Linked DNA regions of Mus musculus. The protein of the gene in region 1 interacts with the protein of each later gene in a biochemical or structural test. Links are inferred from orthologs where the notes say so. Each region holds a gene or a part of one and is shown on either strand. Other genes may lie near its edges. The genes, in order: Ube2b, Rnf40, Rnf20 and Ubr1.

Region 1 (7,667 bases):
ACACACACACACACACACACACACACACACACACACACACGTATGAAACACGCATACATGTGTGTGTGGTAACCAAAGCCAGGAAAGGAAACATTTTATACCAAACTTTCCAAGTCTTGGTGTTGGCCTTGCTTGTGCTGCTGGCTTGCAGAGGACCCCAAGGAAGAGTGCTCTCTAAAGGAAACCTTTCACCCCACTGTGCCTCATACAGCATCTTTGTATGCACCCATGAGAACATTTCCAGGGCCAAAGCCAGCTGCAGTAGGATGACAACCTTTCCTGATGTAAGCATGTAGCTGAAGCTGGTGACGGACCAGCATCTCCCGAGCCCTCCCTCATCTCTGCCAGTGTGGTCAGTGACCAGGGCCAGCAAACACATCTTCTATGAACAGGGAGAGAGAGTATCTCTCTGGCTTTGAATGAGGTGATATAGGGTTTCCGGTTCCTTGTTTTCTTTGAACCAACCCTGTTATAAAATTTCCAATTCCATTTTCTTTTTTTAAAGATTTATTAATTATTATTGTTATTATTATATCTAAGTACACTGTAGCTGTCTTCAGACCTCCAGAAGAGGGCGTCAGATCTCATTACGGATGGTTGTGAGCCACCATGTGGTTGCTGGGATTTGAACTCAGGACCTTCCGGAGAGCAGTCAGTGTTCTTAACCACTGAGCCATCTCTCCAGCCCCCCAATTACATTTTCTACAATGGATGTATACAGGCCAGCCGGAGCTGCAGGCTCTTTATCTAACACCCTTAAGAAGAGTCACTAGGCCAATTCATGTGGTGAGCAGTGGTATTCTTGGCAAAAGATCGTATTTGTAAGGGGGCAACTTTCTCCTCTGAGCTTCAGAAAGGAAGCAAGCACAGCTAAGTCTCTGCTCCTAAGAGGACAGCAGAAGTGCAAGGCCTTCATTCCAACAGCTTGCAAGACATGGTAAAATCCTCAGAGTCTAAGAATGAAGACTAAAGAATTCAGTCAGACTCTGATCATCTCCAAGTTCCCAATCCAAACACATCTTAGGGATTCATTTCCTTCTGAGTCTTCAAAATCAGTTAAGGTCTCCAAAACAGTTAAGCGGCATTTTACTCTGTGTGTGTGTGTGTGTGTGTGTGTGTTTGCTGGGTTCAAATCCTGGTCCTTATACTTGCTAAAGTCAGGTGCTCTGCCACTGAGCCACACACATACAGCCTAGAGGTGTCATTGTTTTTAAAATTGTCACTATATAAATCCACTCCCTAGGAAGCGTGGTTATCTGCTCTCAGCAAGACACTCAGATGAGTGCCACGCGGCAGCCAGAGAGCATTAGTGCCTCAATCAACAGCAGTTAGATCCTTCCACGGGCAAGTTCCCCATCCGAGTCTGAATCTTCCATACTTACCAGAGGATGGCTGGAGCTAACGCTGAGCTGGGTGTGGACGGCTGGTAAACAAGTCATTCAACTCTCTGACCCAACTAAAGTTAATTCCCTAGCCATCCTACTGAGTAGAAAAAAAGCAAAAACAGAAACATTAAAACCTCAAAACTTTACTAAGATTATTTTTAAAAGCTGTAGCAGTGATAGGACAAATTTACTAAAAATGGTACATGTGTTCAACTTCTGTTCTTTCCTCAAAGGCTAGAGGAAAGAAAGGCCCATGCTTTCAAAGGACTTCTGGTATCTTTGTTGCGTCAGATACTTAGATGACAAATGATCTCTACTGGACGACTGTCTCACACACTAGCTGGGAACTAATGGGAGCCACAGCTCTGTTAAAGTCTCTCTCCTGACAATTTTGCACCTCAAGAGCTTCAACTACTGGATCTCTCCTTGCATAGTTAACGCACATGCCACATCCCATGGCTGGACGCAATAGAAAAGAACTGTGATCCACGCTGCCTACTCCTAGGCTTGGTAATACAACTCGCTGACAACACTTACCTAACATGCCTGGAGCCATTTTCATTCCCAGCAACTCAAAACAGACAAAGCTCTGAATCTTACCATTTGAGCCCCAATGTTTCTTTCTGGAGGCAGGGTCTCATTCTATGGAGCATGACCAGCCTCAAACTCATGGAATCCTCCTGTTTTGGCTTCCCAAATGCTGAGATGCAAGCATGGACCACACCACACCCATATTATACCTGTGTCCTTATGACATTTTTGTGTGTGTGACTGTGTCCCTGAGGACTAGTGCCCACAGGTCAGAAGTGTCAGGTCCCCTGGAGCTGGAGTTACAGGTAGTGGTGAGCACCTGGCACAGGTGCTGGGAACTGAACTCAAGTCCTGTCAAGAACAGTATGTGATCTTAACACCGAGCCATCTCTCCAGCCCCCAGTGTTCCTTCTGTGACTGGGAGAAGAGCTCTCAGTATGTGCATCTCTCACACTCCTAAGGCCCTTGGTTCAATCCTCCTCCCACTAGCAAACACCACACTGTACAGGCAGGGCCTTTGTTTTCTGAGCACAGGACAGGAATCACAGCAGCCCTTAGTTCTCCTCATTGCTTTTCATACACATGAGGTTTAGATGAGATCTCAGAGACGTCATGTTACACTGGCTTTGAGGTTATGTGTATGGGATGGGAGTACATGCCTCATGTCGAGGTTGGAGGTGACAGGACAACTTATGGAAGTCAGCTCTCTCCTTCCATGGGGTTGCAGGGATCTGACTGGCCATCAGGCTTGGTGGCAAGCACCTTTACCTGTTAAGCCATGTCACAGCCAGCCTGAAAGTGACTTAATGGACCTATTTTACTGTTAAGAGGGCTTGGCTTGGGGAGGTAGAGATTCAGGGGCATTTCCTGGGTGGAAAGGGAAATGGTTTGTTGAGAAACCAGTCCTTTCTATCAGAGAGCAGGAAGTTTCTATCCCCAGACTTTCTGACATGGGCTATGTGTATGAAGGTGGGAAATGACTACAAAGAAAACTTGCCCACTGGATAGTCTGTGTAACTCTACCAAATAGAGTACAACTCCCCTTAATATTCCTTGTGCTTCAGAGTTCATGCTGCTCCGAAAGCCAGCTCATTTCCTAGCTGGTTGACCTGGGACCAACCAGCTCTCTGTCCCTAGTTCCCTGATCTGTAATGGAACAGTACCCCGTGGGCTGCTCCCTGCCAGGCCCTGTGCGGAGGAAGTGCATCTCCAGCATGTACATCTAAGTCCTGTGCACACCTAGCTCTGCCTCAGTGCCCTGCTTAGCTCTAGCTTCTTGCTGTACAAACGTAGCTAGACCAAAACGAACATTTGTGCATGATAAAGTGTATGAGTTAAAGATGCAGATCTGGTACTCTGTTGAAGACAAAAAAATGAGTGACTAATAGATCATTTCTAAGGACTTTCTCCAAAAGTCAAGATGGGCTAGATAGGTAGAAAAACTGAACAGCTGGCTCACCACCTGACACCACTCCCTTTAACTGTTTACCAAGTAAGTACTTGAAATGTTTTCAAATGGATGAAGAAAACAGCTAAGAATAAATATGGTGCGGACATACCCAGGATAGTGTTTAGTGAAATAGTTGAGCCCCTCTCACAAGTAATTGCTTATTTACTGTCCAAGTCACCGAAGGAAAGAGTAATGGAGCTAAATACATGGCAGAAGCATCACACATGTCTCACCCAAGTGGCCTGGAACTCACCATATAATAGCAGGCTCAAAACCATGGCCCTCCCCAGCCTCCCAAGGATGTAAATAGGTTATGTGCCACCATGCTAAGCTTAATAAATTAGTATTTTTATTTTAATTATGTAAGCGTCTGTTTGTGTGACTGTCAGTGTCTGATTTAGTCAGAAGCTTTGGAACCCCAGGAGCTGAAGTTACAGGCAGCTGGGAACTGTCTGAAGTGAGAGCTGGGAACAGAGACTGGGTTCTTGCAGAAACAGTACATGCAGTAACCACTGAACCATCTTTTCAGCCCTCTGGAGTAACGACTTCTAAAGGGAAGTATCAGTTCTTATCCATCCCAGTTTTCAACTTTGCTTGTAAACAGAAGACATGGTCACTCTGCAACCCAACGTTCCAGCAGAGAGGCTACCAGAGCACATCTCTAGGAGGCTGGTGTGGATGACAAGAAACTCAGGCTCACTGCAATTGCTGTTTCAACTACTAGAGAGACTGCACAAGTGGTTCAACAGAATTTACTTGTATATTTTCCATTTTCTATACTATTTGAAGGCATAGGATAGCTTTGTATTAGCTTTCTACAATACTGTGTTTTAAATCTATCCAGTAAACTAAGATGCAGTACAACTTGGATACAACTGAGGAGGTGAGAAGCAACTCGGCAGGCCCTGGTGCTCAACAGTTCCAGAATAAACAGGTAGCGCGCAGCTGCATTAAAAGGTAGTTTGCAAATATTCAAGTTACACCAAGATTCCTTCCAAATCTCTGCCTTGCTCAAACCAGCGCAACCGGCCATTGCTAATACTGCGGCACGGTGTTTGGTAAATGGTGATGGTTTTACTTTCTTTTTAATCAAAAGCCTGTGAAGGTGCTGCCACACAGCAGAGGAAGTCAGCTCTGCTCGTGGTGGAGGTGCCAATTGTGAAGTCACAAAAGGTACAGTTTACATGAGAAACGCACATTAACAAGTGGCCCAAATACAGAGCTGGACAGAACCAGACCAGTAAGTCTATAGTTACTCAACTGAACTTACAGAAGTACATTCAAAATAAAGCCGGAGATCAGAATTGGTTTTAGAATCGAATTTGCAGACTTTCTTGATAAACAGAAGAGTGACCTTCTGCAGTTGGAAATGAGGCTCTCACCTGGCAGAGACTTCGCAGTCCCTCTTGCACAGGTGAGGAAATAAGTGACAAAGTCTCTTGCACTGAAGTTATGTATTTTAACAGCTTTACACGTAATATTCATATATAAAAAACTTTAAGTGCTTTTCTCCAATTTAAAAATCTAAAGAATTCAAAAATAAGGCATTCAATATTTGAAAAAAGTACAGATTTACAAAATGTGTATATTCTGTCATGAAAACTCCACACCAACATTATACACTTGGAAAAAAATACAAACAGGATATATTACAAATTTATGCAGCAATAACTTAGTTCACACCATGCAATAAAAAGTACATTAATCAAGATACACAAGCTTTTGTAGGTTCTAAACTGAAGGACTTTTTCTTTTTTTCTCTGCAGAATCCTTAAAACCCGTGGCACTTAAAACTTGCTAGCCTTTCTACTGGGAGGTAAATTATACACAACAACGATGAAGGATGAGCAGACCAGGTGTCTATTATGAATCATTCCAGCTTTGCTCAACAATGGCCGAAACTCTCTTCTCATACTCCCGTTTGTTTTCCTGATAAAGCTGTGCTGCTTGGCTGTTGGCTGGACTGTTTGGATTCGGTTCATCCAGCAGAGACTGGGAGAGAGAAGGAGAGAAGAAAATGCTCTTCAGCTGTGTGCTATAGTAACAGGACTCAGATAAGGACAGAAAATTACACAAAACAGAATTACTTGGAAGTTCCAATGTCATCTTTCGGGTCACAAAACCTTCAGAAATTACATGAAGCAGGTTTCTGTTGCTAAAAAACATAAGCTTCCAAAATAGTTCTCAGTTGCCTTGAGATTTCCCATTTCAAGGAGATCAGCCAAAAACAGTATTCATTAGCATATAAGAACTTCCTCACCATTGAAGTAACAGCTTAATCTGGTTGAACTATAACACCTATAAATACCTTAGAAATTTAATTTCATGTATTTTGTACTGCTAGTAGTATCTCTCTCTATTTTTCTCTGTGTAGCCCTGGCCTCCCTCTGCCTCTGCTCTCCTACAACTAGGATTAAAAGTGTGCGCCACCACTTCCCAGCTCCCAGATCCACTATCATCAGGTTTTTGTGGTGCTCAGAAGTTGGGCATGCTGGATAAGTGTTCTACTACTAACCACTGTCCCCTGCCGCTAGGCCCAAACCTTATTCCTGTGGTTACTCACATACGCTTAGCAGGGAGGGAATAAAAGAGTAAAGTTCTGAGGTGGGAAGGAAAATACAGGGTAATGAGCAAGCTAAGGGTTAACAGTCACTCTTCTGGGGCTGGAGAGATGGCTCAGTGGTCAAGAGCACTGACTGCTCTTCCAAAGGTCCTGAGTTCAAATCCCAGCAGCCACATGGTGGCTCACAACCATCCATAATGAGATCTGACGTCCTCTTCTGCCTGGAGTGTGTGATGACAGCTACAGTGTACTTACATATAATAAATAAATAAACCTTAAAAAGGAAAAAAAATAATTCCTAAGTTTAAAAAATAAAATAAAATAAAAACCTCACTCTCATATGTAGATCCTATCTTAAATACATGAGACATGGGATCAGAAGTGGACTATGACAGGGGTGGGGATTAGAGACACACAGGGATTGGACAGATGGACAGAGGGAAAGCAGGATAGACAGAGAAGTAGTGAGAATCAGATATGAACAAGGTTCAGTGATGTAGTATGACATTCCCCAGAGATGAGTGGAGCAGTAGGCAAAAAGACTCACAAAGATGGACAACATTAACATTTTTTTTTTGCTCTTCTCAAATCAGTACAGCTCTGTCAGCCTCCCTAGACACATGAACCCACAGTTACTGCACCTCTTTCTTGAATGGAACGACACAGGTACAGGGTCTTTGCCTGGCAGTTCCTGGAGGTCCCTATGGTTTTCTAAGCAATCACTTTACTTCTCCCCAAGATACTACATGGGCACAAGTAAGTCTCACTTGTGAGAATGTGGACATATGACAAGAAAACAGGTTGTGAATAGGCATGGTGGAACATGCCTGGATCTGCAGCATTTGGGAAGAGACAGTCTTCTGTGGATCAGCCTGAGCAAAAAGAGACCTCTGCCCTCCAAAAAGGCAAGCTGTGGATTAGATCTCATATGTCAACTAATTAAAGTGTGGAGCAAGCTGGGTGTGGTGGTGCACGCCTTTGATCCCAGCACTTGGGAGGCAGAGGCAGGCGGATTTCTGAGTTCAAGGCCAGCCTGGTCTACAAAGTGAGTTCCAGGATAGCCAGGGCTACACAGAGAAACCCTGCCTCAAAAACAAAACAAGAAAATATAAAGTGTGGAGCAGTCAGGGTGTTGTCGAAGTCATGCATTAATTACTTGGTGCTGGCAGGTGGTTCTAAATAACTGGTTATATCCCAAAGAATATCAAGTTGTGATGCATTTAATCTTACCTGAATGGAAGTTAAGATGGAAGAGACATCATATGTGGGACTCCATCGATTCTGCAGGATATCTAAACATATGCTACCATCAGCATACACTGCAAAACAACACAGTTAGTTACAAGCAACTCTCGTGCCACAGTGAGAGCTCTTCAGCACACACTAAACTCTGTTTCACAGGGAAGCTTGTCCTGAAAGGAACGTCCGCCTCACTACCCGTGGCATTTTTGGAAGGCTGAGGGAAATTTTTCTGAAGCCTGCCATACATTCGTTACCACATTTTGGGTCCAAGGTTGTAGCTCAGTGGTAGCGTGCCTGCTTCACATGTGCAGGCCTGGGCTCACTCCCCAGCACCCAAACCAAGATTACTCCACCTTTCTTAAGCCTCAAATAGAGATCCTGAAAAAGACCCACTTCTAGAGATGATTCTCAGATTATCATGAATATAGAGATTTACTTGTAGGACTTTCACAACGGCATAATCTATGAGGAAAAAAGAGCAAACTCCCTTATGGTC
Region 2 (7,444 bases), on another chromosome or scaffold:
AAGTTATTAAATGATTTTAAAAAGGACATGGAGGATTAACATTGGTCTTATACCTATTGGAATATTCTCTTATGGTGAGTTTATTCATGGAAGCAGTGTTTTATGTCCTATTACATGCTGCTGACCGACACTGGGTGACTCCTGCCTTCTCACCAGTAATCCACAAAGAAAAGAATGCACTTGTCCATCGTTTATCTCTTTTCTGCCTCCCCCACCCCCTTTTGGTTTGTTTTTTGAGATAGTCTCTCTATGTCGTCCTCCTGGCTGTTATGGAGTTTGCTGCGTAGACAAGTTTTCACTGTATTCCAAGCTGACCTCAAGCTCTCAACTATCCTCCTGCCTCAGCCTCCCAACTGCTAGAATATCAAATACACACCACTGTACCTGCTTCAAACACTTTGATGAAGGAAACTAAGGCTGTCTGAGAACATAATGGCACTCCTTAGGGATGTGACTTTAAGGCTGAGTCCACGGGACAGTATACATGTTAGAGGAGTTGATGGCAACAGAGAGACTAGCCTACTGGAGGCTCAAAGACCAGAGCGAGCACCATCATGCAGTAAGGAGCTGTGTCAGGAATGAGGATGCGTAGGAAGGGGTGAGGTTGAGGGCCACAAGGCAGGGTCAGCTCCACTGCAGGCAGGCAGGCAGGATGTTCAACAGAAGCATCAATGGACTGTGGTTCCCAGGCTTGGGCCCAAGGTCCTCTCCTTCCCGTTCCCGCCCACCTCAGGCTGTAGAAGCAGCCCAGTTGGCTGAGGACCTGAAGGTGCAGTTGGAGCATGTGCAGACTCGACTTCGAGAGATCCAGCCCTGCCTGGCAGAGAGCCGGGCTGCCCGGGAGAAGGAGAGCTTCAACCTCAAGAGGGCTCAGGTGCGTCCTCGGGTGGGGAGGGCTGGTTGGCCGGTATGGGAGACATGCAGGTCCTTAGCCTGGCTTCTGCTGTCCTAGGAGGACATTTCCCGGCTTCGGCGAAAACTAGAGAAACAGCGGAAAGTGGAGGTTTATGCAGATGCTGACGAGATCCTGCAGGAGGAGATCAAGGAGTACAAGGTGGGACGAGGCTGGTGACAGTGGGGTGTAGTCTCCGGAGCTCGAAAATAAAGTAGGGCAGCAGGCGTGCGTTGTATGTAAGCCACGTGGCAGAGGAGAGATTACACCTGGACCCTGGCAGTCAATTTAAAGTAATTCTGCCATCTCAGTGATGAGTCAGGGCCATGGCAAGAACCCAGTGGAGTCTCCAGAGTGGCCCTGGGGATGGGATGGAGGGTTGTGTGGCAACAGGCTTCCTGGAAGGAATTGTCACCAAAGGCAGACCCAAAGCTCCAAGAATGGAGGTGAGAGCTTATGTAAAGGGAAAGGCCGCAGGTGGGGAGTGAAGGCTGAACAGCAGCAGACCCTGGAGGCTAGAGGTAGGCTTGGTAGCCTGTGGGCAAGCAGAGTAGAGAAGCCTTTTTATTTGGGAGGGGGAGGAGCATACGATGCTTGGGAGTAAACCTGGGTAGGACTTTACATGAGCTGCACACACACACCTTACCACCAAGCTGCATCCTCAGCCCCATCAAGGGTTTTTATTCAAGAGAGTGGCCAGATATGGGGCCAAGAGCGGCTGCAGAAGGGGGGGGGGGTTGTTAGAGCATTGCAGTCGCTGAGGCAGAAACTATACATAGCTAAGCCCTACACACCTGAGACGAGATGAGCTAAAGCAATACTAAGGTGGAGCTGCGGGGCTCAGGGATGGGTCACAGAAGGATAGAATAGGCAGGACACCAGGGAGGTCCGGGGTTGAGATATAGGAACTAGGTAGACAAACACTCTTCAGTGGATTAGGAACATGCAGTGGATGGTTTCAAGGTGATGAGAACTCGGTGCCTCTGGGACCTCTTGGGAGGCTGGGAAAGCACTGAAGCCAAGGGTCAACTGCAACAACCAAAAGCCACACTGGACTCTGGCTGCCATTGAGGGCTCTTGCCATGAGAAGGAACAGGGGACATTCTTCTTCCTTAGAAGTCTCAGCTTTTAAGTGACAGGCATTAAGTGAAGCCTGGTGAGTGGGGAAAGCCTTGATGGGAGGGGTAGGGAAGGAAGGAAGGGAGCCAAGCCAGGGAACCTGGGTAGAACAAGGGTGGTCAGAGCTCCCGGTCTCTGGAGCACTGTGGTGGAGAAGGTGGCAGAGTCATTGATTAGCTATCCCCCCATTGGCCTTCTCGGGGAAGACACGAGCCTTGAAAGGCTTTCCAGTGTGCATGGCCCTGTCCTGAGAGATGGAGAAACAGTAATTTGGGGAGTTGAGCTGGCTGGCTGAGACTCCAAATAGGCCAAGCAGTGCTCACCCAAGGTGGTGACTGGAGCCGACACTGAGAGCCTCCTGGTGGCAGTTGGGGACAGTCCACAGCAGGGCCTTGGCACCAGGGGTGGGTCAGACTGACTGTGCAGATAGCATGCTTCTCACAGTTCTGCCCTGTTGAGCAGTGACTGAGCAGGTACTCGAGAAATGACAAGTGACCACTTGGGGATTTTGCCCAAAAAAGCTATTAAGGCAAGAGATGCAGGAGTTAGGGCCTATCCCTGTCCTTAGGAGAACCTAGACACTTTCGAGTTTTGTTTGTTTGTTTGTTTTTGTATTTGTATTTTTGGTTAGTTTTGTCTTTTTGAGGAAGGTCTTAACTATGTGACCCTGGCTGATTATGGTCACAGTCTCCTGGGGACTATAGGTGTAAGCAACTCTAATTTTGAAAACTTGGCTCTGAGCCTGTATCCTCGTTCATGCAGTGCTGGTTCCCACCTTCAGAAGTTATGTTCAGAATTAGAGGCCTCAACCATTTGGTGGCCTTAGCCTGGAGTCTGGGGACAGTCAGACTTGCTCCAGACTTACTGTGTCCGTTTGGTCTAGGCCCGGTTGACCTGCCCCTGCTGTAACACCCGCAAGAAGGATGCCGTGCTTACCAAGTGCTTCCACGTTTTCTGCTTTGAATGTGTGCGGGGCCGCTATGAGGCCCGCCAGAGGAAATGTCCCAAGTGCAACGCAGCCTTTGGTGCCCACGACTTCCACCGTGTGTACATCAGCTGAACCTGAAACTCAGGGGACTTTGAACACCCGAGGGGCTGTGCCCCAGCTCCCCACTCCCCCAGGGGCAATGGCCCCAACCTCCCTTTCAGACTCCATGAGCCCAGCCCCTATGTGCCTAGATGGTTTGGGGCTACTGGTGCGTGCAGGAGAGGTGGGGTCACCCAAGCTGAGTGCCATCTTTTCCTGAATGTCAGATCTGCAGCCTCGGGGACTCCCAGGTACACAGCATCCTACTGTAACCTTGGAAGCTGACCAAAACCTGTTTCTACTGAGAAGACAGATACATCCTTACCCCTAGAAGGGAATTCCTCCACCAGGAAAGGGCTCACCACCCATCTGCACAAGCTCAGTGCTGACCAGGGACCTGGGCTTCACATTGGGTCCTGGCCCGAGGAGCCTTGCTTCACTTACTTAGCCCCAGGCCTGGGCAGGGATTTGGCCTTCCAGTGGAGTTTCCTGTACCCTGGTGTAGCTTTTGTGTTGAAGACACTCTTGGGTGTGCACCCTATTCAGGTCAGGGACACTGCCACCTCATGGTCTGATTCAGGGGCATTTTTTTTTTTAGCCAGACTCTTTCCAATCTCCTCCTTTCCTCCCAAGTCCACTTTACCCTTTCTCACGCATCCTGGTGGTCCCTTGGGTACCTGGCCCTAGCCCTGCTTTCTTTCATCCTGGTGATCTTAATTGTGGAGGTGCAACTTGCCAGGAGGGAAGAAACAATCTAGCACTTGCAGGCATTCCAGGTAGAAGAGCTTTGCCCGTGCTCCAGCTAGCCTACACTGATCCTGCCTAAGCAGGGTCCTGAACGCCGGAGACAGGGTCTGCTGGAGCTGGGAGACGGCGCTGCAGATAGATGGCTACAGGAGCTTTTGGACTCACAGCCTCTGCTCTAGAGGTGTTGTGTATGGGCTGCTAATTGTTATGAATAAAATACCCAACCCTAGGCTGCAGAGAAGCCCGTCCATTTGGTCTAACCTGAGTCTCTGCGCTACACCTCACAAGCACTTCCCTGGCATGGTTGGAAGCTGGACACATTTGAGAAACCAGCCCAGCCCACCCTACAACCACTTGGGTTAGCAGCAATATATCTACAGACATGTTTACAAAGGGCCCCACCCCGCCGCCTCCACAATGGAAAAGTTGTTGATTATGGGTTGGCATTGGCCGAATGGATAACAGCCTTTGTGGGTTGCATACTGGGATATGTAGTCCTTTACCTCTAAGGGCCAAGTTTACCTGTTGTGACCACATTTCAGTCTTATTTGTAGGCTTTTTATCCACCCGTACTCTGCGAACACAGACCATGAACAACTCAGCAGGGTGGGTTTTCATTGTAGCTTGGGCCATTAGCTGGACCCTTGGAAACAGTTTGCTCAAACATGGAGGGCTGTCTCTGGGTTCAGAGTGGTGTTGGTGGCTCTCCCGGTGGCGCTTTTACGGATTAGCTACGTGGCCTGCGCTAAGCGAAGGTGAGGTGGGTGTGGGAACAGCAGTCATAGCCATGGTTGTGGCCTCGGGCTTAGCCACAGTAGTACCTTCTCTAGGCTCTTCAGCCTTCTCCGCAGACTTGCCTTCGTGAGGACTCCGGGCCCCTTCTGCTATCTGACTGCGCCTAGTTTCTGTGACGCCGCAGTGGCTGAACCAAGTGGGACTGGAGACTGAGATGCGAGCTACGGTGACCTCCGGTGTGGAGCTGGCAGTGACTGGGACGCTCGCAGAAGCACGAGTAGCTGCAGGGGAAGCACGAGTAGCCATAGGAGATGACATTGGGCCACCATGAAAGCCACCCCGGCTAGAATGCTGGGGGTGGGGGGAGTGGGGGAAAGCAGGATATTGCATCATAGAGACTAGACAGAGCTAGAACTGAGCTAGTAGTCTTAGGAGGCCTGTGCACTGGGGCATCAGTCAGTTCTCTGTCCAACATAATCCTCCTAAGTAATGGACCCCATTCCTTTAGAGGTGAGTCCTCAAATGGATGGGTTGGGAGTACTCAGAGCTCCATGTGGGCAGTAAGGCCTAACAGTAACACAAAGCAGACCTTTTCCCTCATGTTAAGCTCAAGCTGAATGGGCTAAAAGTCCCAGGATCCTCGTGCCTGGAGTGTGCAGTCTTTGCAGAGCCATGAAAACAAGCCATTGGTCTGTCACTGGTGCAAATTTGTGTGCTTTCTTCTCTCAAGTCAGAGATCGATCGATTGATCGATTGCAGAACCCTCCCCTGGCCACCACCGAGCAGGATGTGTTCCTGTTTGAGCTGGAGCTAGGGCAACTGCCTCTGAGCGCACTGATGGGGACTTCTCTCAGAACTTACCCCAGGCCCTAGCTGCTACATTCCTCGGCTTGAATCGTGCTGTCTTCTGATCTCTTCCTTCAACTGTAACCACGCTCCCCTTTGCACTTTGCCTTTCTCTGAGGTCCATCCAGAGACAACGGAACAGTAAAGCTATACCTACAGTTCCCTCCCAAGCTCCAGGCCTGAAAACCACTGTTTAAGGAGGGCAAGAGATGGTGCCACTCTCTCTCAGCACTCCTTAGACTCTGGCCTGTGTTCTGTGACTGCACCTCCATCGGTCCCTTATTCGATAACGAAGTGGTCCTCAGCCTTCCAAAATGTTACAACCCTTTAATATAGTTCCTCGTGCTATGGTGACCCTAACCATAAAATTATTTTGTTGTTATTTCATAACTTATTTTGTTAATGTTATGTGTTTTCTTAGGGTATTAGGCAGTCCCTATTAAGTTTGTCTGGCCTGCTCTAAGCCAACCCCAACTATTTGATAATCTATCCCCACCCCACTCCTGACTTCTATATAGAGGATCCCTTATTTTTTATTTTTTTGAGACACGGTTTCTCTGTGTAGCCCTGGCTGTTCTGGAACTCACTCTGTAGTTCAGGCTACCCTCAAACTCAGATATCCACCTGCCTCTGCCTCCCAAGTGCTGGGATTAAAGGTGTGCACTGCCACTGCCTGGCGGGGATCCCTTATTCTTGAGACCCCGTCCTCTGTAGTTACTTCCAAGTGTCATCCAGCCTACTATAGGAGTCATGACCTCTGGCCTTTAAATCAGGTATTGCTCTGGTCCTCCTCTTATTGGAGTCCTTAGTGTTCCCAGGGCTGGGGACCCAGGAACATGAAAAGGCAAGTCCCCCTCTCCACTAACCCACCCATATTCCTGAAACAGAGGGAAAGAACGACAACTTACTCTGGGATTTGGGACAGGCACAATAGGTCCAAGGAAGGGCAGAAGGAATGCTTGGCAGGGGTGGGGGGCCTTAAGAGCCTTGACTCCTCTTCCAGAGGACCTGGGTTTAATTTCCAGCAGGCAATGGCAGCCAACAACCATTTGTTGTTCCAGTTCTAGGAGACCTGACCCTTTTATGGCCTCTGCGGGCACTGCAGTTGTGTGATGCCCAGGCACATGAAAATAAAACACCCATGCACATTATTTTTACATTAATAAAAATAAATGGTCAGGAATACACCTTCTGCCTTCAGAGAGTCCTTAAGAGACAGGCTATGGGGCTGGTGAGATGGCTCAGCAGGTAAGAGCACCAGACTGCTCTTCTGAAGGTCCTGAGTTCAAGTCCCAGCAACCACATAGTGGCTCACAACCATCCATAAGGAGATCTGACTCCCTCTTTTGGTGTGTCTGAAAACAGCTGCAGTGTACTTACATATAATAAATAAATCTTTTTTTAAAAAAAGAGAGAGAGAGAGAGGCTATGGCTACTGCTGATCATGGGCCATGACCAGACTCAGAAAACAGTGCTGAAGCCAGGCATGAGGACCTCCCTGTAGTCCCAACCACAAGAAGAAAAGGCACTGCCAGTGTGGAGGTGGCCTGAAGCCTCCAGGTCATTCCAACTTCCCACCATGACTTACATGTGGGTCTTGGATAAGTGGCTGTACTTCCCAGAGCCCCAGCCTGTGCCATGGTAAGAACCTTTGGGCTATCCTGGAGATCGGACAAGTCAAGGTACGGCTCAAAGAAGACAGGTAGCAGGAGAGGCTGAGCTAGACCCAGGATCCAAGGGAACATGGAGAGGTGGCTGCCAGCTTTGAGGATGAGGACTTGGGAGCTCTGTGTTTCAGGGGAGACTGTGGGTGTTGTACCCAGAGAAGCTGCAAAGCTGGGCCCAAGACAACCAGGGCTAGTGCTGCCAGGCAGCCATCCAGCTTACCAGATTTTTCTTTCACAAGGACTGAGCTTTAAAGTTCTATAAACCTATCAACCTTCTATAAGCAAATACTGGACAGGAAGCATAGGGCCCCCGGGGAAGGGCAAACCTGGGACAATACTGAGCTTTTAGGGTCCCCATGGGCCCTAGTTCTGGGAGTGAAAAACTTTGCTGTTCGCTGAACAAGTAGATAA
Region 3 (8,240 bases), on another chromosome or scaffold:
TATTTTGTTTGCTTTGCTTTATGTTTGAGACAGGATCTTTCTTTAATCCAGCAACATGGATGCTCTGGCAGATAGACCTCCTAGGTCTATCTGATCTGGCCGGAATGTTGACACACCCTGGATTACAGTATGCACGTTCTATTGTGCCAACATGAGATACTTGGAGAGACATGTTTTATATCAGGCAATGGGAACCTGGACTGGAGCAGAGCTCTGGATGATTCCTTTAGTATATAGTTTATAATAAAATTTATCCCTGAAGCCTAGTCATTTGCCATTAGAGTCCAAAATACTGACAAACTGGATGCTGTGTGTGTGTGTGTGTGTGTGTGTGTGTGTGTTTTAAATGGTTCATCTAAACCTAGGTTTAAGTCACCCAATAACTAGCAGTATGGTGGAGCCTCAGGATTCAGATACTTGGTGAAGAATCCTATTAGAGCAGTGAGGTGGTCAGCTTGAGAGTGCTATACTTGCTGTTACCATACATGATCATACACCTGTTCCTTTATTTCTTCTGTTCCCACTTCTTACTTAATCATTTGCTGTAAGAGTTCTTAATGTATGTATGCAAGGCCAAGTAGTGTTTCTCAGTTGCCATCCACTTTGTCTTTTGAGACAGGGAGCCCACTAATATTAGGCTAGGCTGGCTAGCCAGCCAGCTATCCTCAGGGATCCACCTGTCTTTATCTTTCCTGTGCTGAGGTGACAGCATTTGCTACCATACAAGGCTTTCTTAGAAGCAGGTTCTATTGATCAAACTTAGATGCTCATGCTTGTGTGACAAGCCCTGAGCACCTGAGCACCTGAGCTGTGTCCTTAGTCTCGGTTAAGATTGTTTTTTTTATTTTCTTTATAGAAAAATAACTAATGAACTAATGTGAACTTAGTGAATTTAATAGCTCGTCTGTTTTTTTGTGGAGACTAATGATTCTGTTTCCTGAGGTAGGAGGAATTAGACATTCGAACACTGCAATCCAAGAATCGTAAGCTAGCAGAAATGCTAGATCAGCGGCAGGCCATTGAAGATGAGCTTCGGGAACACATTGAAAAGCTGGAGCGACGCCAGGCCACTGATGATGCCTCACTGTTGATTGTGAACCGGTACTGGAGCCAGGTAGCTACTTTGTCTCTTCACCCCTATTCAGATCAGCCTTCTCATCCTTAGAGCGCTCTTAGTTTCTCAACTTTTGCCCTTCATGGTTGTTTACTGCATGTTTCCTTCTGTAGTTTGATGAAAACATCCGCATCATCCTTAAACGTTATGATCTGGACCAGGGTTTGGGGGACCTACTCACAGAAAGGAAAGCCTTGGTTGTGCCAGAACCAGAACCTGACTCTGATAGCAATCAGGAACGCAAAGATGACCGTGAGAGAGGCAAGTGTTTGCAAGGAAGTCTGTCACTGCCTTAGTTACCTGGGTTTTAAGGTTGAGCTTTGCTCTGAGGCTCTCCAGTTGAGCGGGACAGTGGATTTTGCTATTTCTAGCTTTAAAAGAAGATTAAGGGCTCCTTTTTCTCTCCCTGTGTTGTTGGGAGGTATTCTGTAACTGTATTAGTTACTAGATTTTTGAAGTTGAACTTTGCTTTGAGGCTTTCCATTTGAGGGAAAATTTGCTATTTCCAGATTTATAATTTGGGGGGGCTTTTTTTCTCCCCATGTTCTCAGGGGATGGGCAAGAGCCAGCTTTCTCTTTCCTTGCTACTTTGGCTAGCAGTTCCAGTGAAGAGATGGAATCTCAGCTTCAGGAGCGTGTAGAGTCCTCCCGCCGTGCTGTGTCCCAGATTGTGACTGTCTATGATAAATTGCAAGAAAAAGTGGATCTCTTATCCCGGAAACTGAACAGTGGAGGTGAGGAGAAGACCAGGAGACAGGGATCAATGGGAGGCAAGAACTCAGCTCTAGGAGGCTTGGGGTGCTGCTCAGTAGTAAGGGAGAATGTGGCTAGGTGTGTGGCTTCTATTCCAGCACCAAAACGAGTAAGAGAGGAAAACTCAGTTTAACGAAGCTCCCTGGAGTTTTAACCCTTGTGACTCTCAGTGTAATTCCCATGACATGCTAACGATATACTTTCATAAGTAGAAGTAAACTTCTGACTTCAGATGGTGAGTTTTAATGTGTTCCTTTTCCTTTGGTGTATTTAAAGACAGTTAGATGAGGTAGTAAAGTAATAAGATGACTCCTGTGTTTGAAGAGATAGAATAGGAAACCAGTGGATGAAAAAGCCTTAAAGTAAAATGACCATTTGGAATACTTATTGAGTTTTATTACTGAAATTATGTTTGTACAGTATAGGAAGTATACTAAAATTATTAAAGATCTTTAGTCATTTGTGATAGATCTCTTTCTTAAATGCAGATAAAATGCCTTTATTTCAGGTTTTCAACATTAGCCATGATCTGGTTACAGTATCTTTTAAGAAGTTTTATTGTATATGTATATGTGAGTGTATAATTATATACACATGAGTGTAGGTAACTGAGGAGTTCAGAAGAGGGCATCAGGTCCCCCTGGACCTTGAGTTGTTGGCCACCTGACATGGATTTTTGGTAACTAAACTGGGGTTCCCTGCAAGAGCAGTACATTCTCTTATCCTCTAGCCATCTCCCTAACCCTCTGTTGTAGTATTTTAGCTGCCGTGATTATCATCAAGATATTTAATGTTTTAATCTCCTAAATAAATTAGTTAACTATAATGTGCTTTATTTACTAGGTGAGCAAATAAGAACTGTATTATTCTAGAATTTTATTTTCAAGAAAATTCTTAAAAATTGCTTCTTTTTTAGTACGGTAATTAATATGCTTGTTTATATTTTATTTTTTAATTAGGATACTACAGTTGAGAGTGGATGGGTATGACTACTCCTTCCTATTGCTATAAAACTAGCTGTGTGATACTTCTGTCTCCCATGGCTCTAATTGACTGCCTAGAGGGTATTGTTAAACCACTCTAATGTGGGGAATGTACAATGTGCAGAGGTTATTTTGATGCTACATTTGATATTTTAGGTGAATGTCAAGTACATTATTTGCTATATTTGTAAAGGAATTAGACTGAATAGAAAATAAAACTGAACTAAGAACTGTTTTGGGGTTCTGTGTCTACAAGATTGCTCAGCTTTGAAGGCTCTTGCACAAGCCTGATAACAAGCGTTTAATCTCTGGTTCCCACAAGGTGGCAGGAGACAACCAATTCTTGAGGGTTATCCTTTGACCTCCAAATTCACGTGCCTGTACACACAGGACAGACCCATGCATACACAGAAACAAAAATTATTTTTTGTAAGTGTGTTTTAAGATCAAGTTTAAGTTAAAAAAAAAACACATTTTATTTTAAATTCTAAATAGTTAAGCTGTTTGTGATCCAGAGGAAATCTGTGTTGATAAAAAAAGTAAAGATATATATCTTTATATCTATATGAATTATAATGTATATTATAACTCATAACACATATATGTATATGTGTGCTATGAATTATAATACTGAGTAATAACTTTTTAGAAGTTCATTTTCACCCATGGTTTCATTCTTGTTTAGATTTATGGCTTATTTATTAATTTACTAACACTCACTGGGTTTTAATTGAATTTTAGGGCCTGGCTTCAGAACTTAGGGTATTGAAGAATGAAAATTTAGGCATTAGTTTTTAACTCAGGTTGACTCAGTCGCCGTTTAATTATGTATTTATTTTGCCATAGCTATGGAGAGTCTTAACTAGAGGGTTTTGTATGAGTCCCTGGGAATTGTCTATCTTGAAAGTCTGATAAATGATTCAGGTGGGCAATCCTACATGGAAACTGGGAACCCGTGACTTGACTGATCTGTTGCATGAGTACTGAGAGCAGTAATAACAAGTGGTGTAGGAATGCTTTTTCCTGGCAACTCTAAAGGATAATGTGTGTCTGGAGACTAATTGGTTCCATTTATAGCACATAGATTGAGCTGTAATAATTATGACTAATTTTAAACACCTGAATTCAGCATAAGAAATTCTAAAGATGTAACTTGTAAATTTGTAAATATTATGTACATTTTTGACTTTGAGCTTCAGGAACTTTAGACCGTGTACAACTGTGCTTACCCAAGGCTACCTACTCTCCACCTTGATGCCCTTCCCCCATTGTGTTTGATGCCATTGGATATTCATTCCATTACGAACAGTGGCCAGCCAGGTGTGGAGTCCAAACTGTCAAGTCCAGCCTGTGCAATGATGTAGTGATAATGCAAAGTAAAGCCTTTATGTCTGGCTTTGAGTAAAATGTTCCAGCAGAGCCTATGCTTTGTTTGGGTTGATCCATAGAGGCTGAGAAACTTTTTTTGAGACTGTTTGAACTTAAAGAAGAAACATTGTGTCTCTTGAAGGTCTGCACTTGGTGCTACTTGAGAGCTTGCCACTGCACAAACCTTGATCCTAAGACACTCGAGGCAAACCTGGAGTTCTTCCTCCTGATTTTTGGCTAGCCATGATCAAAGGGACTGAGATTCGTATGGGTCATTTGCTCTCTCTGGTAGCAAAGGAAAGAAAATCAACCTTGATAGTTGGAACCTTTTCCAGACCCAATTAATTTTGTACTTAACATAATATTGTGATAAGTGAGTTCTGTGTTTTTATCTTTGTTCATTGGGATTTTTATATGTGATTATTTGAAGATAGAAATTATGCTTCCTGTCTCTCCACCACAAAAGAGAGATGCTTCATGTTGTTATTAGTTAATAATAGGAGTTTGTGATTACCTTATAAAATAAAATTGTATTGCTTTAATTTGGACACTGCTTAGAAATCTTGTCTGTTCTAAATTCTAAAGTATCTATTTTTGGTGATGGTAATTGTATGTGAATACAATGATATAGCCTTCATTTATTTGTTCAAGGCATTTGTCTTAACAGAGATGAGAATAGGTGATGGTTGCAGGTTGACTCATTTATATAACCAATTACCTATCACCTGACCTGGGTGCTTCCTGTGTCCTGTGAGATAACACACTAGGTTACTTTCTGACATTCTGAGGATAGTGAGGTGAGCCATCAGGTTGATGCTTTGATGCAATAGATGATTGTACAACTTAAGACTATTGATACTAAACTAAAGTGCAGTTCTTCTTTCTCAGATAACCTGATAGTGGAGGAAGCAGTGCAGGAGTTGAACTCCTTCCTTGCACAAGAGAATGTGAGGCTTCAGGAGCTGACAGACCTCCTTCAGGAGAAGCATCACACCATGTCTCAGGAGGTACTTGACCAGAAGGAATAACAGCCATTCTTCGTAGCTCTGGGTGACCACACCAAGTCAGAACTGTGAGAACTTTGAGAGGCCCCTTAATTTTACAAGGCATACTTACATTGAGGAGAGTGTGGGGCAGTAACAACAGTCAACTCTGAGAGAGCAACGTCCATGAAAAGGTTAAAGAAGAAAACAACTGAACCATTCCTCTTTGTGCCTTTGTTTAATAGTAGTTTAGGATCTTCATCATTGTGAAGAAATGCCACAACACAACAAAATTGTAAATCCTAAATGATTCACTGCCCTAAATATAATAGATCGTCAACAGTGGTACTGAGTGAATAGCCAAGTGAGAGTAGAGCAGAGTATGGTGAGGAGGGAGGCTTCTGCAATGGTGAAGCCATAGGACCTTGGGGAATGTGAATGTTCACCCCAGAGTAGCTCCCAGACAGTGCCATGATTACTATCCCATGCTAGATTTCGGCATCTGTCTATGTAACATGCTTATGAGAAAGTGAAAAGCTTTGGATCTTTCCGCACATGCTTCTGATTACTTTGTTAGCTCAGGTGATATGTTATCTGTTGATAATGACCTACTTTGGTTTGGCTACTAGACTTTTGTGCTGATTAGTTATTTAGTTATTGTCACTTAGTCATTTGGTACCCAGTTTTAAGCACTACATGAATATTACTACTAATGGCAAAACAGCTTCCATTTTACTGGTGAGGATACAAATGAAGGGTAGTGTACAGTCGGAGCAGGTGATTAAAAAATGTGATTTGCTGAGTTTGTTTAATCTCAGAGCCATGTTTACCCTGCACTGTTTCCTGAGCTCTGCTGTTAGGTTCTTTGCTTGGATGCTCATGGACTTTTAGCAGCATTTACAAATAGATGGGGGTGTCATATTTTAGGGAATTAGCTCGGTGTTACCAAGATAGAAATGTCTCCTGTTGAGGCCTTTCCCAAATCTCAGCAAGAGTAAGCAAGGGCCTCTCTGTTTTGCTCTCTGGGCTCGTGTGTAGAACCCATGTCTTGCATTGCTATTTCCTTTCATTTTTAAAAACAACATCAGAGTAGGATTTAATTTCCTGGCACCAAGTACAGCGCAGCTTCTTCATGCAACAATTTATTTATTTTTCCATTAGTTTATTTATTCACTTCACATCTGATCTCAGCTCCCCTCTCTCCTCCCAGTTCCTCTTACACAGCCCCTCACCTCTCATTGCTGGTTCTTGATGCCGACTGTCTGCTGGGAGGCTGTCAATTGCAGCGGAGGGCCTGAAGACTTCTTAGCATGTCAGCTGAACTACATTGAGTGTTCTAAGAAACAAAGCAGATCCTGCCTGAGCTTTTTAGTATAGCCTCAGAGTTATACACTATATATATATATATACCACTAAAGTTGTCTGGGATCAAGGGGAGGAACAGATTCATCTCTTAGTGGGAAGATTGTCAGAGGAAAAAAAAATAAGCTGAAGGGTCTATACAGAGTAATGGGAACATGGGGCAGTTTCATAATTGAGATGCTATGTAGTAATATCCCGTTGATGCAAAGTTGAGATCCTCAGTATCTACATACAGTTGAATGCAGTAGTATTGATTGTAATCCCCAAACTCTACTCCGTAAGATGAGATGAGAGGCAGGGACTGGGCATACCTGGAAGTTTGAGGGCCTGACATATGACAAGAAAATCTGTCTCAAACAAGATGGAAGAAAAGGACTGATGCCTGAGGTTGTCTGGTCATCTCCACATACAAGCTATGGCAGGCGCGTGCACACGCACACACACATGCATGCACGTGCACTCTCTCTCTCTCTCTCTCTCTCTCTCTCTCTCTCTCTCTCTCTCTCTCTCACAAACACACACACACAACCTGATTGTAAACTGCTCAAGAGTCAGCTTAAACACAGAAGAAGTTTCTATCTTGTTCTATAAGGATTATCATTTCTGGATATGTAGCTAGAGAAAGTTGGTAGTAAGAGATGTTTCTGTTTTAAATTCTTATTTTCTAAAGTATTTGATAAAGGTTGTTTTCTTTTTAAAAAAATCTTCATTTTCTGATGGTTGTGGTCTTTCTAGGGAAATGATGCTTTTCATGGATAGATTATTGAGTCTTAACTGATTGTCCTTGTGAAAGTTCTTAGCAATTGCCTGTAGCAGTCTAAGAACTTTTCTTTTTACATTTGGGTGTTGAATACATTTTTTTATATATAATGGTATGTGAGCAAGGACTAATTTTATGGAATTTGGAATGCTTGACTCAGTCCTTTTGTTATGTTTCTGAATGCTTGTCTTTGCGATGTAGTTCTGTAAGTTGCAGGGTAAAGTAGAGACAGCTGAGTCACGAGTGTCCGTCTTGGAGTCCATGATTGATGACCTGCAGTGGGATATTGACAAAATTCGAAAAAGAGAACAGCGTCTCAACCGGCATTTGGCTGAAGTCCTAGAGCGGGTCAGTGCTGATTATATAGGCTTAAAAATGACTTAGGAATGTATATTTTATTCATGTGTATGTGTGTGTGAGAGGGAATATGCCATTATGTGTACAGATGCCTGTGGAGGCCAGAAGAGGGTATTAGATCCCCTGGAGCTACAGTTATATAGGGTTGAGTAGCCAAGCATGAGTGCAGGGAGCTTCCACCTGGACTCCTGCAAGAGCAGCAAGTGTTTTTAACTGCTCAGCCACCATCTCTCCAGTCTTTCCCACCCCAATATAATCTTTCTTTTTGTTTTTGAGACTTTCATAAATGTATACCATGCATTTTAATCCCATTGATCCTCCATCCAATTTTTCCAGAACTCCTCTCCATATGTTCCCCTCTCATCTTTTAATATCTTTTTTTTTTTTTTAAATAACCCACTGACTCCTATTTGGGTTTTACATGCTTGTGAGTGGGCAACATACCAAAGGCCACAACCCCAAATTAAAATGACTTTCCCTTAGCAGCTATCAACTGCCAGTAGCTCTTCAGTCAGGGGAAGGTAAACTCCTCCCTTTTCCATGCTAGTATATTGATTAAT
Region 4 (8,876 bases), on another chromosome or scaffold:
GATAAAAGTGGTGCCATGGGTGGAGAGGTGGCTCAGCGGTTAAGAGCACTGACTGCTCTCCTGAAGGTCCTGAGTTCAAATCCCAGAAACCACATGGTGGCTCATAACCATCCATAATGAGATCTGACACCCTCTTCTGCTGTGTCTGAAGACAGCTACAGTGTACTTACATAAAATAATAAATAATTTTTAAAAAGTGGTGCCATACAGCTATAATCCCAACTTGCAAGTTTGAGATATGATTTGAATTGCACCTTAGAGACATAAAAGTCAGGAGTTCAAGTCCAGCCTGGGCTACATAACACAAGAAGTAGAAAATTCTATGAAGTTTTATTTCATGGACAAAATTATTCATGCCATTCCACAAAGTGTTTAAAATATATAACAATTTTTTTTTGTTTTTTGAATAGAAATTAAAAGGTCAAACACAAGTTTTTGAAGAATATTATGAAAGAAAATCAGCATCATAGCCAGGGATGAATAATCTATTCATGAGATATATAGAAAGCATAGATACTTAACTGGGTGTGGTGGCACACACCTTTAGTCACAGCACTGTAGAAGAGAGCTAGCAAGTTCCAGGCCATGTAGGCTACATAGTGAGACCCTGACTAAAACAAACAAAACAAAAACAAACAACCGAGCACCCCACTGTTAAAAAGTATTATAGCAATCTCAACCAAAATTCAGCAGTTATTTTAAAAAGCCGGGCATGATGTGCTGTGCCTTTATTCCTTGCATTAGAATAGAGGCAATAAGCACAAGAATCCATAGCGAAGAAAGAACTCTGCAAGTCTGGATGGGCATTGTTACCTGAGGATACCAAACAGTAATAAACTCTAGGCCCGTGGTTGGGGATGCTGATGCCTAATGAGGCATTCACAATGGAAAGACTGTGTATGCTGATCCCTGACTCCCTTCCCCCTAAATGAAAGTGCTTTTGTATAGAAGAAAACCATGGGGTGAGAAGGGAGTTCACTTAGCTATTACCAAACACTGTACTATTGGAAACCAGGCATTCTGGGCTTTTGGTAGTGCCTCATTCATCTTTACAAACTTTATATAGGCATCTGTTTTATAGATGAGGAAGTCCAGTAAGTTTAATGCTCCTAAATTTAAAACCAAGTAGCAAAAATAAAATGTACTGAATCCCAATGAACAAATTTGCTTCTAGAAGTATATAGCCTCTATTATTTAATTATTATTAAATTAGTCCTCCAACAGGAAGGAAGGGTCCAATCACATCTGGTTAGGAAAACAGGAAGATATTAAAAATGCTTTCCTTAAAAGATGGGCAGATCCTTTAAAAATATCCTTTCTCTGGGCTAGAGACATGGCTCAGCAGTTAAGAGCATTCACTACTCTTCCAGAGGACTTGGCTTCAATTCCCAGGACCAGTTTCAGGGAATCCATTCCTCTCTTCTGGGCTTTTGGGTACTGTACACAAGTGGTACAAAGACATACATAGAGGCAAGATACCCATACACACAAAATATAAACAAAATTAAAAATAAAAAATAGACATTTATGTTGTGTCTGGCCAGCAGATCACAGGTCTGGGTTCTAGCCTGGAAAGGCATTTTGGAAACCTGGAAGAGAAGAGGGACTAGGCGGCGCGAGATAAAGACGGAACCAAGACAAGGCTCTGCTCAAGGTTCAATTTTACTATTCCGACACTCCGTTATGAAGGAGGGGGAGGGGCCGATTCCCGCCAAATAACCTAGGAGTAAGGTTGCAGGTGAACACGTGATGGCTTCGGAAGAGCAAAGCGGCAGGTTCGAGCTGTGGGCGTTTCTGTATGAGTCTGGAGACAAAATTTAAAATATCTTAGTGATGGTGCTGGCTAGTTTTGTGTCAACTTGACAAAACCTATAGTCGGCAGAGAAGAGGGAACCTCAATTGAGAAAAATGCCTCTACAAGACTGGGCTGTAAGCACATAGGTCATTTCCTTTTCTTTTTCCTATTTATTTATTTACTCACTTTACATCCAGATCGTTGCTCTTCCCTCTACCTGGTCCCTCCCATAGGGTATTTTCTTAATTAGTGATTGATGGAGCAGGGCCCAGCCCATTGTGGGCGGGGCCACCCCTGGGCTGGTGGTTCTGGTTCTATAGGAAAGCTGGCTGAACAAGTCACAATGAACAAGCCATAGTAAGCAAGCAGCGCCCCTCCATGGCCTGTGCACCAGCTCCTACCTTCAGGTTCCTGTCCTGTTTGAGTTCCTGCGCTGACTTCCTTGGCTAATGAACAGTGATGTGGAAGTGTAAACCAAGCCCTTTCCTCCCGAAGCTGTTTAGGTCATGGTGTTGCATCACAGTGACAGTAAACCTAAGACCGTGACTAGCATTGGTCGTTAAAATTTTCTCATTACCACAAGAATAAGATTTTAATGATTAGCATTCTTCATTAAACATGTTTAATATAAAAATAGCTGCTTTATTTTTTTAACCACTGAGGATTAAGACCAGGATAATGTGCATGCTAGTCACAATCTCTCTACCTTTGAACTATAATCCTAGTCTACAGGTGCATTTATTTTTTTTAAAATACAATCTTTTTGTTTGTTTGTTTTGTTTTTCTTTTTTTTTAAAGATTTATTTATTTACTATATGTAAGTACCCTGTAGCTGTCCTCAGATCTTCCAGAAGAAGGCATCAGATTTTGTTACGGATGGTTGTGAGCCACCATATGGTTGCTGGGATTTGAACTCGGGACCTTCGGAAGAGCAATCGGTGCTCTTAACCACTGAGCCATCTTGCGAGCGCCCTACAGGTGCGTTTATTATTATTGGTTTGTGTGTGTGTGTGTGTGTGTGTGTGTGTGTGTGTGTGTGTGTGTGTGATAAGCCCTTTACAATGAGTCACAAGCTCAGCCTTATGCCTCATGCTCTCCCCTCAAAAAACAGTCACTTGATTTTTCACCCAACAATGTGTCTTCTCAAGATAGAAAGAACAAAACAACAACAGCGTTTCTCAAACTTTATTTTCTCAGGATCACTTTAAACTCCTTAAAATTATTGCCCCTCCCCAAGAATCTTTTGTACAAATGGTTCCTATCAATATTTACTAATAACAATTTAAGATGGAGAAAACTTTTAACTAGCTTAAAAGTTTCTATGCAGGGCTTCATGTAACCCAACATGTTCTGCTTTTTGTTGTTTTGGGACAGGACCTCACCGGCAGCTAGACTGATCTGGAACTATATAGTTCTGCTGCCTCCAACTTGGAAGAACCCTCATATTCTCAAATGCTAGCTGACGTTACAGCTGTAAGTCACCCATGCCGGCTTACAGGCATGTAAACAATATAACATCTTAAACATTTTTCCTTTCTTTTTCTCTTTTTGAGATGGGGTCTCACCACATAGCTCTGGAGTAGACTAGGCTAGCCTTGAATTCAGAGATCCACCTGCCTCTGGTTCTGGAGTGCTTAAAGGTGGGTGCCATTACACCAGGCATAAACAGCATTTAAAATGAAAATTAACTCGGTAAACAAATGTTATCCAAAATGTGAGAATTTCCAAATTTCTTAAGTTCCAATTTAATAGAAGGGTAGGTGTGTTTTAGTTCTGCCTCTATCTATAGTCAGTCATGTGTTGCTTTGGTTGGTGTATGTGAAGAAAATTTGACCTTACAGATCTAAAAAAAAAAAAAAGCCAGGTGGTGGTGGCGCACACCTTTTTAACCCCAGCACTTGGGAGGCAGAGGCAGGCGGATTTCTGAGTTCGAGGCCAGCCTGGTCTACAAAGTGAGTTCCAGGACAGCCAGGACTATACAGAGAAACCCTGTCTCAAAAACAAAAACAAAAAAACAAAACAAAACAAAAACAAAAACAAAACAAAACCCACTTCCATGGCAGGTGAGATGGTAGAAAACCAATCCCCTCAAATTGTCCTTTGATCTCTAAACATGATCCACACACACACACACACACACACACACACACACACACACACACAGAGAGAGAGAGAGAGAGACACAGACACAAGTCGCTAAAGTATATATATAAATTTAAAAAGGGACCAGGTGGCTGACATCTGTCACTTGGAATGCAGAGGTAGGAGGAATGCGTGGTATTGGAGGCTATTATTCGTTTCGTAAAAACTAAACCAAACTAAACAAAAAACAAAAACAAAAACAGAGGACACTAAATTAGCTCTTTATCACCTTTGTCCTCCAACCCTGGTCTTGGCCTTGGGTGTTTTCTCTTGGTTCAGAGCTATTCCTTCGCACTATGCATAGATGCACAAATGCAGGAATTTGTAGTCTGTGGCAACAGTTTCCCCTCGATGTTTCCGTACATCTACCTTGTTCTTTTCATGGGGTATTCCATAACGGGGATGTATTCAGTTTGTCTTCCCTTACCGACGGATGGACTAGGTTTCTCGGTTTTGTCATCTCACCACCCCTGCCCCGGGGTTAAGGGATGGCGACAAAGCTGTGAGGTCTTCCCTCGGGGATCAGCCCTGGTGGAGCAGGGCTAACTAACCATCAGGGGCGGAAACCTCCGGCTTGGCAGGTCGGCAGCCTGCTTCCGGGAAGCCGACCGGAAGCCGCTCCGGGTGCTGCGACAAACCTGACTTCAGGGGCCGTCGTAAAAGTGTCGTCCCTGTCGCGTCGGGCCGGCCACAGGTTTCCGCTAGCTGGCGGCCGGGGGTCGGGAACTGCGGGCGTTCGTTTCCCTTAAGATGGCGGACGAAGAGATGGACGGCGCCGAGAGGATGGACGTCAGCCCGGAGCCTCCCCTGGCCCCGCAGCGGCCGGCATCGGTGAGTCTTCATCTGCTAGCGCCTTTTGTCCTCTCCACCAACAGCTTCCCACCGCGCCTGGGAGGGTTTGGGGCTCCGCTTTCTATGGCGGCACTGGGGAAGGGGAGTCCTAGGATTGAAGGATCGACCCTCCCTCCCCCGATAAAGTTAGTCGTCTCCTACACACATTCCTGCCAGCCAGGTCTACGGAGTTTAATGACTGTCATCTATTAAGTCTCAACGTGCTCAGACACGCATGTCTCTATTTTGAAGTAGAAAGAACTCGTGCACATTTAGGTGGGTTTGATGTAGGAGCTGAGATGAGGTTGGAGAAGGCCATTTTTCGGTAGACGCATTGCTGACCCCTCTTGTTGATAGGCATCGGGACCCGGACCAGCACCTGGTGTGATATAGCATTGTCGGGTGGACTTGATAGTGGCAGTGAGTGTTGCGGCTGGCAAGGCATGGCCAGATATCCATTATTGCAGCGTCTTGAGAACCTTCGATCTGGCCCCCAGTGAGGGAAATTTGTCATTTGTCATGCCTTTTATATATGAGAAGGGACATTTCAAACGAGAGAATACTGGAATCTATACTTGGCTATTAGATTTTTGAAGGGCTGAGAAAGGAGAGGTAGAATAAAATTGAGTCAACAGTCTGGCTGCGTGGAGAATACGAACAGAGTAGGCTGAAAGGTGGGGTAATGTTCACAAATGTTCTGATGTGGTCCCTTCAGATAACTAGAAGGGAGGGAGGTCCTTAGGAAGTACTCACTATTGATCACAACATGTTTTATCAGTTTGTCTATAGCTGCATATGGAAAAGTGTGGGAAACATACCCGCACCCACGCAAACCCATTGTATATACACATACCTGTTAGTGAAGTTGTTTGTAGTTTTAATAAACTCATTCTTGGCTTACTTTACCCCAGCAGACTCTAGAACATTATTTTATGAGACAAGAGAATGACTCAGAAATAAGTCAACCACGGAGACTAGAGAGAATGTCTGTAAGATAAAAAACCATCAGGGACAGAGTTGGAATAAGACTATATGCACTAGATCAGCACTTGGCAGTCTTCCTCCTCCATCCCAAAAAGCAGTTGAAACTCACTTCACCACTGGTAATGTAGCTTAGATGAAAACAGCTAGAAAATGTTTCCAAGTAGATAAACTGGTTTGTTTGTTTGTTTGTTTGTTTGGTTGGTTTTGGTTTTGGTTTTTTTAGTGCTAGGGAGAAAACTCCAGGCCTTATGCATGCTAGGCAAGGGCTCTTCTTCTGAGCTATAGGTTAAGATAGAGAGATCATTTACTTTCAGGAGTTCCAGGCAAACCCCGGACTAGACTGTGAAACTCCATCTAAAAACAAAAATAGAAAAAAAGATTCATAGATAGAATCATGTGCTTTTTTTGTTTGTTTGTAATCTAGTGCGTTATAGTCAGAATAGTTGTAGTTTCCTATTGCCAAAGATGAGTAATGTTTATTTAAATCGTTGCTATGTTAATTCTTTCCCACTAGCACTGTAAAACCCCATTAATAAAACCATAAAACATCCATTACTTTGGAATTGGAAAAATGGTATAGAAATTGAGCAGGAATCTGTAACAAACATGTCTTCAAAGAATAATATATTTCTTTGGGCAAGGCTTTTTAAACTTTACAGAGAAGCAAGGAGTGGTGTCATGTAGCCTCAGGGAATTCAGCCTATAGATAATATAAAAGATGAAGAACTTAGATTCAAGATAGGGTGGTGTAAGTGGATACAGACCGATGACCGTGAAGCCTTTATTTTTTGGCTTGAGCCCTTTTTGCTTGACCCCAGAGTTCATCCTACTTCCTGTAGTTTTTCCATCTGCCCTTTCCCATTTCATTCTCCCTATTTAAAACTCTTGTGGTTAAGCCAAGATTGCTCAGTTTGAGTCTTCAGCACCCCACCACTGTTTGCTTAATTTGTATCTCAAATCTCTGTTGGGTCTTGTGGAAACAAAATAACAAATATAGGACAGCTACAAGATCTAGTAAAGGCTTTGTTCTCATTAGAGTGCTTTTCTAGTTACAGTTGCTGATTTCTTTAAACTAAATTGCCTTTTTTAAAGATACAAGGTTGTTTTAGTAACCTTTCAGCAAGGTCTAAAGTCACTTAACAAGTAAGCAGCATGAAATGATAGGGCTAGCAAGATGGCTCAGAGCTGCTTCCTGCATAAGCTTGGTACCTTGATTTGATCATTAGAACCAATGAAGATGTGGAAGGAGATAACCAACTCTACAAATATGCACTTTGACTTCCACATTCATGCTGTGGCACATGTACATATCTGCCCCCACACAATAATAGTAATAATTAAAAAAAAAATAGAATGATCGGAAAAAGCAAAAATAAAATGAAATAATAATTGAGAGTTATTGGACATTTGTACAAGATATTGCTTAAGATTTACCAAGATAAAAATAAATAATTTGAGTTAAGAAAAAAAAAAAAGATTCACCAAGAGAGTTGATTCTTGGACCGTAAACGTCCAAAAGGTCCAAGAAGCTACATATTCACAAGAATGCCTTAGTAAGCTAGCCACTTGGAAGTTACCAGTTTAGAATCAATGATTGAGGCTATAGGAATGGATATATTTGAGGTCAAGTTGTGTGCATATACACACACAAATACCCAGAAACCACACAGCTGAGAAAACAAGAGTAAGACAATGTCTGGGATGTAGTTTTTAGGAAAGGATAGTTTATTGGATCCGTGAAAAGGACTGAGAAAACTGGAAATCCAGAGTATATTGGATGGCCTGCCGGAACATCTGCTTTTTTTGACTGGATTCCTGCCTAAGAGGAAGGTGTCACATGGCATGGCACTGCGATCTTTTTCTGTACGCTGACACTGCATATGTGATTTCATCCAGTTCTACAGCTTTTCATACTCACATATGTTCAATTCCTAGCTTATAGCTCTGGGTCATCTCACTTGTGAGCTTCAGAATCATAAACTCAGTTGCTTCCTTGTCTCCACTAGCACGGCCGATGGTTGTTTCCAAAAGAGAGAGCAGGTAGGAGGCCGCTAGGATGTGAGAGATTGTTACAGGAAGACAAAGCTGTATCAGTTTGAGGAAGATGTTGGAAATATGATAGAAGCAAAGATGACCTAATTATTAAGTTGAGGGAAAAATGAAAGGAACAAATGACATCTGTACCTCTGGTTTTTGGTCTCCACATTCATGGTAGATTTTAGGAGGGCAGCAGGAAGGCAAATCAAGGTTTTTTTTTTTTTTTTTTTTTTTTATTCTTTTACAGGGCACCTCCTCCACAATAGCTCTTGGATACAAATGTCTCTCTGTCTTTACACTCATCATTGTAATCTAAGCCACCATTTGTTGCCTAGACAACTGTAGCTTCTTCACTGGTCTCTCTCCTTCTACTTTTGTCATCTTCCAGTGTTGGGATGAGAGGAAGCCTTGAGTGAATGTGTGTTGTTGACATGGACAAAAGCTTGTCAGGGAACATAGCCTCAGACCCATGGGAAAATGGCAAAGCCTCCCTCTCCATCCCTGCTCCCAGGGTGATGCTCAGAGGGATGGCAAAGCCTTCTTCTGGTCCGTTTGCATATATTGATAGTGTTTGTAGAAAAAAATGTCCACCATAACTATCATCTCCCCTTCCCCATGATGTTTATGGTCTGAAGAGTGCTTCCTGCAGAGAATGTTGAGATTAGCTAATCCCATCCCCTTGATCCAGACTGTTTGCTGTAAACCCTGTCTCCTTGTTTATCTGTATGTTCCAACTCTGCCTTCTTGTTCAGCTGTATACAAGAGCCCTGCCTGCCTGTGCTGTGTGTGTATGCATACACACACACACACACACACACACACACACACACACACACACACACACACACAAGAGCTTGTGGAGTGCTGAGGTTTCTCCATCTGTGAGTCCAGGCTATCTGATCCCAACTTTTCGTCTCTCTGTGTCTGCTTTTTCTTCATTCCCTTGCTGTCCCTGGTCAGGGCCATTCCCTGGAGCGATACTGGACAAAGCATTCCAGTCATTTCTCTACAGAGCAACCGGTGTAATCTTTAAGACTAAATCAGTTCTGTGTCAGTCTTCAGTACTTGATAGGAAAACTGTCTGGAA

Evidence for each region.
Region 2: the proteins of Ube2b (region 1) and Rnf40 form a complex in vitro, tested with the Homo sapiens proteins (3 studies listed by BioGRID). The link is inferred for Mus musculus from reciprocal best matches to the Homo sapiens genes UBE2B and RNF40.
Region 3: the proteins of Ube2b (region 1) and Rnf20 form a complex in vitro, tested with the Homo sapiens proteins (4 studies listed by BioGRID, with this or other methods). The link is inferred for Mus musculus from reciprocal best matches to the Homo sapiens genes UBE2B and RNF20.
Region 4: the proteins of Ube2b (region 1) and Ubr1 form a complex in vitro, tested with the Homo sapiens proteins (2 studies listed by BioGRID and IntAct, with this or other methods). The link is inferred for Mus musculus from reciprocal best matches to the Homo sapiens genes UBE2B and UBR1.

The regions. Positions count from the first base shown.
Region 1 is NC_000077.6:51,981,453-51,989,119, forward strand, and holds the end of Ube2b (ubiquitin-conjugating enzyme E2 B), read right to left. Parts: intron 7,249-7,667; coding exon 7,160-7,248; intron 5,359-7,159; coding exon 5,230-5,358; 3' UTR 3,686-5,229; downstream 1-3,685. UniProt on the Homo sapiens protein: E2 ubiquitin-conjugating enzyme that accepts ubiquitin from the ubiquitin-activating enzyme E1 and transfers it to a E3 ubiquitin-protein ligase. In vitro catalyzes 'Lys-11'-, as well as 'Lys-48'- and 'Lys-63'-linked polyubiquitination.
Region 2 is NC_000073.6:127,599,573-127,607,016, forward strand, and holds the end of Rnf40 (E3 ubiquitin-protein ligase BRE1B), read left to right. Parts: intron 1-733; coding exon 734-874; intron 875-952; coding exon 953-1,054; intron 1,055-2,894; coding exon 2,895-3,071; 3' UTR 3,072-4,033; downstream 4,034-7,444.
Region 3 is NC_000070.6:49,636,960-49,645,199, forward strand, and holds part of Rnf20 (E3 ubiquitin-protein ligase BRE1A), read left to right. Parts: intron 1-946; coding exon 947-1,114; intron 1,115-1,227; coding exon 1,228-1,375; intron 1,376-1,665; coding exon 1,666-1,848; intron 1,849-1,965; exon of another isoform or gene 1,966-5,015; intron 5,016-5,092; exon of another isoform or gene 5,093-5,106; coding exon 5,107-5,225; intron 5,226-7,524; coding exon 7,525-7,671; intron 7,672-8,240. UniProt on the Homo sapiens protein: Component of the RNF20/40 E3 ubiquitin-protein ligase complex that mediates monoubiquitination of 'Lys-120' of histone H2B (H2BK120ub1).
Region 4 is NC_000068.7:120,966,414-120,975,289, reverse strand, and holds the start of Ubr1 (E3 ubiquitin-protein ligase UBR1), read left to right. Parts: upstream 1-4,574; 5' UTR 4,575-4,687; coding exon 4,688-4,768; intron 4,769-8,876. UniProt on the Homo sapiens protein: E3 ubiquitin-protein ligase which is a component of the N-end rule pathway. Recognizes and binds proteins bearing specific N-terminal residues that are destabilizing according to the N-end rule, leading to their ubiquitination and subsequent degradation.